Pelodiscus sinensis: one gene and its partner. The protein of the gene in region 2 purifies or fractionates together with the protein of the main gene of each other region. This does not show direct contact. Links are inferred from orthologs where the notes say so. Each region holds a gene or a part of one and is shown on either strand. Other genes may lie near its edges.

Region 1 (3,743 bases), on a different chromosome or scaffold from region 2:
AAAGTCATGCTTGTCCCACTGCAAGAGACAGGTACAGACGGGGTGTGGTACAGTGGGAATTAACCAGAAAATCTAGCAGAGGCACCATACAACAACATCTCTCTCACACAATTCATACATAATCAGTCACCCTGGCACATGCATGGCAAAGTGCTTTAACTAATTCCCTACTCTGGGAGAGGGGGGCAGAGAAAGAATGGAAGGCAAAATGAAAGGAGTCTGAGTCAGAGCCCAGGGTAGCCTGCTTTCAGGCCCAAGACAGCTGTAATTCACTTCTTGACAAAGTGAGCAAGAGCTGTCTGTAGCACTGTGTCAGCAGCACTTTGCTGACAGGCTTATTCCTTAGCAAACTGACAGTTTCAGAGAGCATTGAACTTGGAGGTGAATGTGAGTAGAGGGCAGGGCCCGATTGTCCCCTTGGTGCTGGTTGGAATTTCTGAACTCCCCTCAGGCAAAGGTGTGCAGCCTACTGATAGAGAGATGTGTGTGTTAGAAATATTTAACAACCGATTAAGTGCTCCTGTACTTTCTAAAGCGCATTTACTCAGGATATAGAATAAAAGCTCTCCACAGTGGAACTCACCTGGGGAAAATTAATCATCTTCATGGGGATCATGGATTCCAGCAGTCTGCACCTCACAGAAATATCAAGAGTGAGGAAGGAAATGAAAAAGTTAACAAGAAACCCAAGAAGCAGGAGATGCTGTATTCCATTCCCTGATCAGTGATACAAAGCTCCATATCTCTTCCCCTCTGACCCTCAACAAAGCCAGCCAGTCCCACTAACAGCCAGGCACCAGACTGGAAACAGTGCCTTAGAGGGGAAGAGGATTTGTATTGCAATCCTATCCCCCTGTGCACAAACAGTTTTCTCTGCCTGGTGTCCCGAGAGCAGGGTGACACCATGGCTATTATAAAGGAGATGTGCAAAGTGTTGCACTTGTGGGACAGATGAGGTTTTGTAGGGCTATGTATGCCCTTTCCCCACACTGTATGCAAGAGCAGTAACAATGAAAGGCTAAAGGAGCTGCTGGTTCAGCTCCACAAACCCTGTATCTTACACTTAGAATGGCAGCACTAGGCTATACATGAAACAACATGCATCTCAGGATGAACTGAGGGTAGCCCTTTAGGAATAATGAAGGGTAAACAAGGGAGGATCCTGGACAAATTTCCCCCAAAGGCTATCTCCATAGCAAGTCCATAAGCAGACGTGGATTAGTTAGGAGCTATCCAGGTCTTTATTATGTGAGAAACAGTGGGAGATGCTCCTCACTTTATGGCATGACCCTTCTGTCCTGTTCAGGTTGCATCTCTACCCCGTTATACTGGACCAGGAATACATGACAGGCCTTTCACAGTACCCCATGAAGGGGCCATAGTAGTGGACCGGGCTGCTCATACGAGGATGCGAGACTGAGATAACTGCATGGCCTAAGTCATTTGCCCCTGTGCTTAGTTTGCTCACCTGTTGCGAACCTGGATGGGCTCCACATCAAAGTAAGGTCTGAGAATATCAATGTTGGCATAGAGATTGAAGGCCTTCGACGCTTGTCTCTTACCTGCCTGCCACATCTGGGGAGAGAAATCAGTAACTGTAGCAGACTAAACATTCCCTTTGCAATGCCGTTCTGAGGCGCATCTCCTGGAACCAAAGCATCCAGTGGCTAAATAACCAGAATGAAAATTAAACATCTTTGGAGTGATCAGCATCCCATCCAAAGCCTAGGGGAAAGTAGGACAAAAGACATCAAGCCCAGAATGGGACTCAAGCTGTAGCACCCAGAAACCAAAGGTGAGATAGCTCAGGGTCATATTGGAAATGGCTACCTGGACCTAAAATGGGACTCAACATCTATAGCTCACTACAGTCAGAGCCAGACACAAGAAGGCAACACAGCCCGCCCCCCATCTCTTGCAGCGCTCTGCTCACCTGGTCAGCTACTTGCCGGCCCAGCTGTCCCTTAAAACCCTTCATGCCCAGGAACTCTCCATCCTCCTCGTCTGCCGCAGCAGCTTCTGCATCCACCTCCTCCTCCTCCTTCATGCGCTGGTGCATCTCGCCCATGTCCTCGAAGCTGGAGCCAGACGTGTCGTCCATGTTCTCCATGTCGATCACAGCGGAGCCGCCTCCCTGCGCCCCAGGGCAAAGGGTCGGGGAGTCAGGCTCAGCGCCAGGGCCGGGGAGCGCCCGTCCCAGCGCCGCGGCGCCCGCAGCAGGGCAGGCGCCACCCTAGCTCCCAAGCCGGGGAAGCGCAGAGCCGGGGGGGGGGTGTTGTGTTGGGGGGGGGCACAGCAGCGGCCCGCACCGCTGACAACCGCAGGGCCCCCCCGGCTCCCCCCTCCTCCCTGCCCAGCCCCGCACCTGCATATTGTCCTCGAAGCCGCCCCATTCCGCGGCGCTCCCGGGCCTGCCGCCGCCCGCCGCCGCCCCCCCGGGCCCGGACATCCTCCCCGTTGGCTGGGGGCACCGGGGCCCCCGGCCGCTCTGCGCCTCACTGCAGGGGCTCCGGGGAGCCTAGTCTGGAGACTGACGTGACTGACGTCAGAAGCCTCGGCAACTTCGGCCGAGGACGTGGATGCGCCTTTGCTCTCGCGAGATCTCATACTAGCGACCAGGTCTCGACGCCATCTTGGTTGTGGCATAAGAGCGAGCATGAAGGCGCCTCTGGGAGAAGGGTCTGGGGAGAGCGGTGCCTTATTATCAAGACAGCGTCAACCCAGCGGCGAAGACCCACAACCCCGCGATAGCAGTAGTGGCTGTTTCTTAGGTCAACGCCACACCCAATATGGTGAAGACCAAGTCGGGCTAAGGCGCCGGCGCCGCCAAAGCGGAAGGAAAGGTCCGTATCACGTGACAGGGCAGTGGGTATTCACTAATGCGACTGCGCAGAGAAGAGCCGGATTGTGGCCGTGTCACGTGCTGGGGGCGCGCCAGGAAGATGGCGGCGCGCGGCGGCGTGGAGGAGATGCGGAGCCGGGTGATACTGGGGGAGTTCGGGGTCCGCAACGTGAGTGAGTTGGGGGCCGCGCGCGAGGCAGGAGGGGGCCGGGCGCGCGCCCGGGTCTTGGTGAGCGGCGGTTGGGGGCGGTTTGCCCCTGGCACGCGGCCCCTGCTTCGCTCCAGCTCGGGGCTGGGCTGGCAAGATGCGGCCCCCTGACAGGGAGGGAGTCTGGCCGCTTCCTAGTCGCGCCCTGTGGCCCTGACCCCGCGTTTCCAGGCGCGGCTCGGGCAGAAGGCTCCTGTCCAAAGGGCTCACGAGCTGTGGTGCTGCCCCGGCAGGGGCCGGAGCCGCGCGCCCTTTAAATAGATGCGGTAGCCGGGCAAATGCAGCAGCAGCGTCGGGAGCCCTTGAAGTTGCCGCTGTTTAAAGGGCCTGCAGCTCCCGGCCCTGCCGCTTCGTGTTGCCTGGCGGCCGCCCGGGACTCCCGATCGCAGCACTGCCCGGCAGGGGCCGGAGCCGCGAGCCTTTCCAATGGCCGCAGCAAGCCCGGGCGGCTGCCGGGCAACGTGGTGGTAGCAGCAGGGCCGGGGCCCCGAGCCCTTTGCGGTGTTTTTACTTCAGAACCTCCAGCCCCAGACAACTCCGGGGAGAGGCGAGTCCCCAGTGTCTCCCCTTTTGCCCCAGGCCCTGCCCCTTCTGGCGGAGGGGGGTTGAGCCAGCCCATGACTAACATTCATGAAGTGGCCCACCCCCAAAAATTACTGCCCACCTCTGCTCCAGGTTCACACCACGGACTTT
Region 2 (3,743 bases):
TAGGTTATGCTTGTGCAGTCGTTCTTGTGGGCAGCGTCCAGATACAGTTTTCTTAGAAAGTGTTCAGAACAAGTGTCTAAAGCAGATCTTTAAAAGCAATGTGATGCATCAGTGCTGGAAGGTGAAAATTGGTAGGATCAGCTGTAAAAATCATTTAAGCATCAGTCACTACCTATGCTCAATAACAGTTGTGAACAAAAAAAAAAAAAAAAAAAAAAAAAGGTTTTCCCTGTCTACACTGGCTGGTTCAGTGGTTGAAAAAATGTCATGGGCCTTTCATTTAAAAAAAAAATCTGATATGCCAAATTTAACACTGGGACAGCTATTAAGTCAAAATTTAAGTATGCTGGTTATATCAAAAGAGGCTCACACTTCCTTTGTTAACAGAAATCTTTTAGGCACTGCTGCAGAGAAGCACAATGGTACATATTGTTCCTGCTATTTATTTTTAAAGGGTTTCTTTCCATTTCCTCTTGCTTTCAGCAGGCAAAAAAATATCACAAGATCTTGACAAATTTACATATGATGTGCAGCATAAGAGACAGAAACTTTCACACTATCACTGTTCCTGCCTCATAGACACATTTCCAGCAACTTAGATAGAGATGATGTAACTTTTTTTTCAGTCTCTCCTTCTACACTAATCTCCTGTCTGGCTAATCTTCCTCATTTTCATGCATCTGAATTCTTGGCCTGTGTATTCTAATAATCCTAATTAAACTGTACACTCTCCACCACAAGCACTTTTGCATTCCAAATGTTTAAAACAGCACATACATTTATGACTATATATAAAGAGAAGTAGGCTGCAGAAGCCAAGCATGGATTCCTTTGCAGACATCTAGATATTCAATTAAAGAGATCATCAGCAAAAAGCAGCACAGACCTCTCTGTGCCAACCGGGTTGTTTCACTTGTAAATATCAATATTTTAAAAATATTAATATTTGATAGACATACCAGATTCACAAATGCATAAATCAGAAGTTTCACTTGATTTAATAAGACCAGCAAAAACTATGTCCTGGCATATATAAACAGTCTTTGTAATTTGATAGCACCCTGTGAAATAGAAAGTTGATTACTACAATACTGTATGTTTCTCTAGTCTAAACAAAAGCTCACTATTGTAATCATTTTAGTTTTCTCTGATATTTACATAGCAATGATGTGTTAACGAATAGAAATCTCTAAATAAACAAATAAATAAAATAAAGGTAATACATGCAGTGATCCGAACAATCAGAGAAAAGTCTGTTTCATGTCAAGAGGAAAAAGTGTAGGGCTGATGCAGTACAGTAAGCAACTCAAGATGAACAGGTCCCTCCAGCTAGCTGTGTGCCCAGTACTGGATACACACAGTCCCTCGAGCAGATCGCTAGGATTAAACATAGAAGGCAGGTGTACTCATGGCCATGCAATGCCTCCCCTCCTTCAAGCATACCTATTGTAACACACTAGGCAACTATGGGCCCACTTTTCCCCTTCTACCGAGCTTCAGGGCTCCCATCCGCAGCACAGCTCAAGCGAAACAAGCCCTGCAGCCAGCAGACACTAGCTCCCCCACTATGACAGAGGGACTGACATGCAGACTGCCCCGTGTCATGCGTCAGGGACCAGGAAGTAAAGCGCAGCCTCTCCTTGTCTTATCGCTCATCTGTGCATCAAACCAACAGATCATCCAGTTACTCCCGTACCCCTGGGGCACGACAAGCTAGTCTCCAGGGGTTACCGATACTCAGCCCCCCTGCCCCAGCCCCCTGAGTTCCTGCGCTGGCCCCACATTGCTGGTGCTCCCCTCCACCCCGTGTCCCCCAACATCCCTCCCAGCAGCTCCCCGCTTCTCGGCCCAAAGCCCTTCCCACATCTCCATCACCCCAGCAGCCTTCACGCCCCGCCTGCCTACTGCTCAGCGGGCCCCCCGGCCCGGGCGCACCTCGGTGACGATGGTGGAGAGGTAGAGCTCCCGGCTGTACTCCCAGCCGTCCAGGCACTTCTCCTGCTCCAGCTGACTCAGGTCCACGTCCCTGCCGGGCTGCAGCCCCAGCGCGGAGAAATTGGCCAGCGCGGCCAGGCGGTAGCGGCGGCACCTGCTGGGCCCCTCCCGGCCGCCCGGCACCTCGCGGGGGATGCTGGCGTCGAGCCACTCGCGGCTCAGGTTGGCGCCGGGGGGCAGGCGGCAGCGGTGCTCGGGGACGCCGGCCAGGAAGACGATGGAGAGCCCGGTGAAGCCATTGGGGACGATGCTGGCGCTGAGCAGGAAGAAGATGAGGCGCTGGAAGGGGCCCCACTCGCCCAGGAAGGCGGTGACCCCCTCGTAGTCCCGCATGGCGGGGGCGCAGCGGGCCTGTGGGCCCGGCGCTGAGGGAGGAGCGGCGGCGGCGACACGCGGCCCCTTCTGGCGCGCAGAGGGAGCTGCCGCAGCAGAGTCCCGAGCGCCGGCCGGGGTCGGGCCTGGCGGGAGGGGTGGGGCTTGTTGTCGCACGGCCCGGGCGGGACAGGTGGCGTAGCCGCTTCCCTGCTGCCAGGGCGGACGCCGGCGCGGAGGGCGTCTCCCCTCGCCGAGGCCTGACGCTGCCCATCCCGAGCGGGCGGCCGAGACCAGCTCGGCTCCCAGGCTCTCTCCCTGCGGCGGCCCCGAGCTGGGAGACGTTCGGCTTCCGTAGCCCCACGCCCCTGGGGGCGCCTCAGGCCCCGTGTCCGCAGAGGGAAGCCAGGCCGGGGCCCCAGGAATAACGCGGGCCAAGGATGAAACTGCCTGTCAGCGCGGAAGGGGAGCTAGCCGCCCCCGGGCTGGGCCCGGGTTAGGGGAGACAGCCCCAAGCCTGTCGAACTGCCATCTCTCCCCCGTTGAAAGGTCTGCACCTGATTCTCCCTCCCCCCTTGTCAGGCCCTTTGCCCCTGTGTAAAGTGAGGTCCTAATCTAGGGCCAACCAGCCTAGGGCCCTCCTTCCCTAGAGTCTAGTTTAAGACAGCGAGTAACAAGTAGGACGGTAGTGTCCAATATACTAGCCGCTAGCCACATTTAGCCAGTTGAGGGTGGCCAGTGGGCTTGAAACATGTGGCTAACTCACCACACTCAACCAGCCAACTAGGCACATTTGTCATGCCCCACTGTAACAACTACTGCTTCAGAACTGGTTGAACACCGGAGGAAGGATGAGTAGGTCAGACATCTCAAGACAATTTGCTGGCACCCTTCCCCCACTTTGAAATGCCATAGGTATTAGCAATGTTTTATTTAAAAAAAAAAAGTGCCAGTATTCCAGGGGGAAAGTTGTTGAGCAAAAAATCGCCCCAGGAAAAGGTGCCGGTACACCCGAAGGGAATGCAGTTCATTTCAGTTATGCAGGGAAAATATGCAGGGGCGTACTGTCACAAAAAAGAGCACTGGGTATTAGGGATATTAAAAAGCATTTAATAGGGTAACCGTGTAGCCACTAAAAATATTCAGTTATATGCACTGTGGGCTCTGCAGTATAAAGGTTAGCCTTGTTTATATTACAAAGCCCACAGTCTCCCTGGCAGCAGGGCCACCAGCCACTGCTGACCGGGCTTCTATAAATGAGGCTTTGCTGCAGTAGCAAAGCCATCTCACTAGGAGTGGAGCAGGTGGCCCATGCCTGCCCTATTCCTAGGGAGGCAGCTTCACTGCCCTGATGCAGCAAAGCTGCCTCCCCAGGAAGCCGGCTGAGTTTAACTGACACCCTTAATCAATAAGCATCAGCTTATCAGTTAAACAGT

The links. Proteins that work in one complex are often made in the same cells at the same time.
Region 1: the proteins of organic cation/carnitine transporter 2 (region 2) and YIPF3 purify together in Homo sapiens (co-immunoprecipitation; 3 studies listed by BioGRID and IntAct, counting the BioPlex papers as one, with this or other methods). This does not show direct contact. The link is inferred for Pelodiscus sinensis from reciprocal best matches to the Homo sapiens genes SLC22A5 and YIPF3.

Annotation. Positions count from the first base shown.
Region 1 is NC_134713.1:139,252,872-139,256,614, forward strand, and holds the start of YIPF3 (protein YIPF3), read right to left. Parts: upstream 2,567-3,743; 5' UTR 2,450-2,566; coding exon 2,366-2,449; intron 2,135-2,365; coding exon 1,934-2,134; intron 1,576-1,933; coding exon 1,469-1,575; intron 630-1,468; coding exon 584-629; intron 1-583. Other genes in the region: POLR1C (DNA-directed RNA polymerases I and III subunit RPAC1), read left to right, coding at 2,943-3,011, 3,726-3,743. UniProt on the Homo sapiens protein: Involved in the maintenance of the Golgi structure. May play a role in hematopoiesis.
Region 2 is NC_134727.1:25,339,725-25,343,467, forward strand, and holds the start of organic cation/carnitine transporter 2, read right to left. Parts: upstream 2,485-3,743; 5' UTR 2,329-2,484; coding exon 1,936-2,328; intron 1-1,935. UniProt on the Homo sapiens protein: Sodium-ion dependent, high affinity carnitine transporter. Involved in the active cellular uptake of carnitine. Transports one sodium ion with one molecule of carnitine.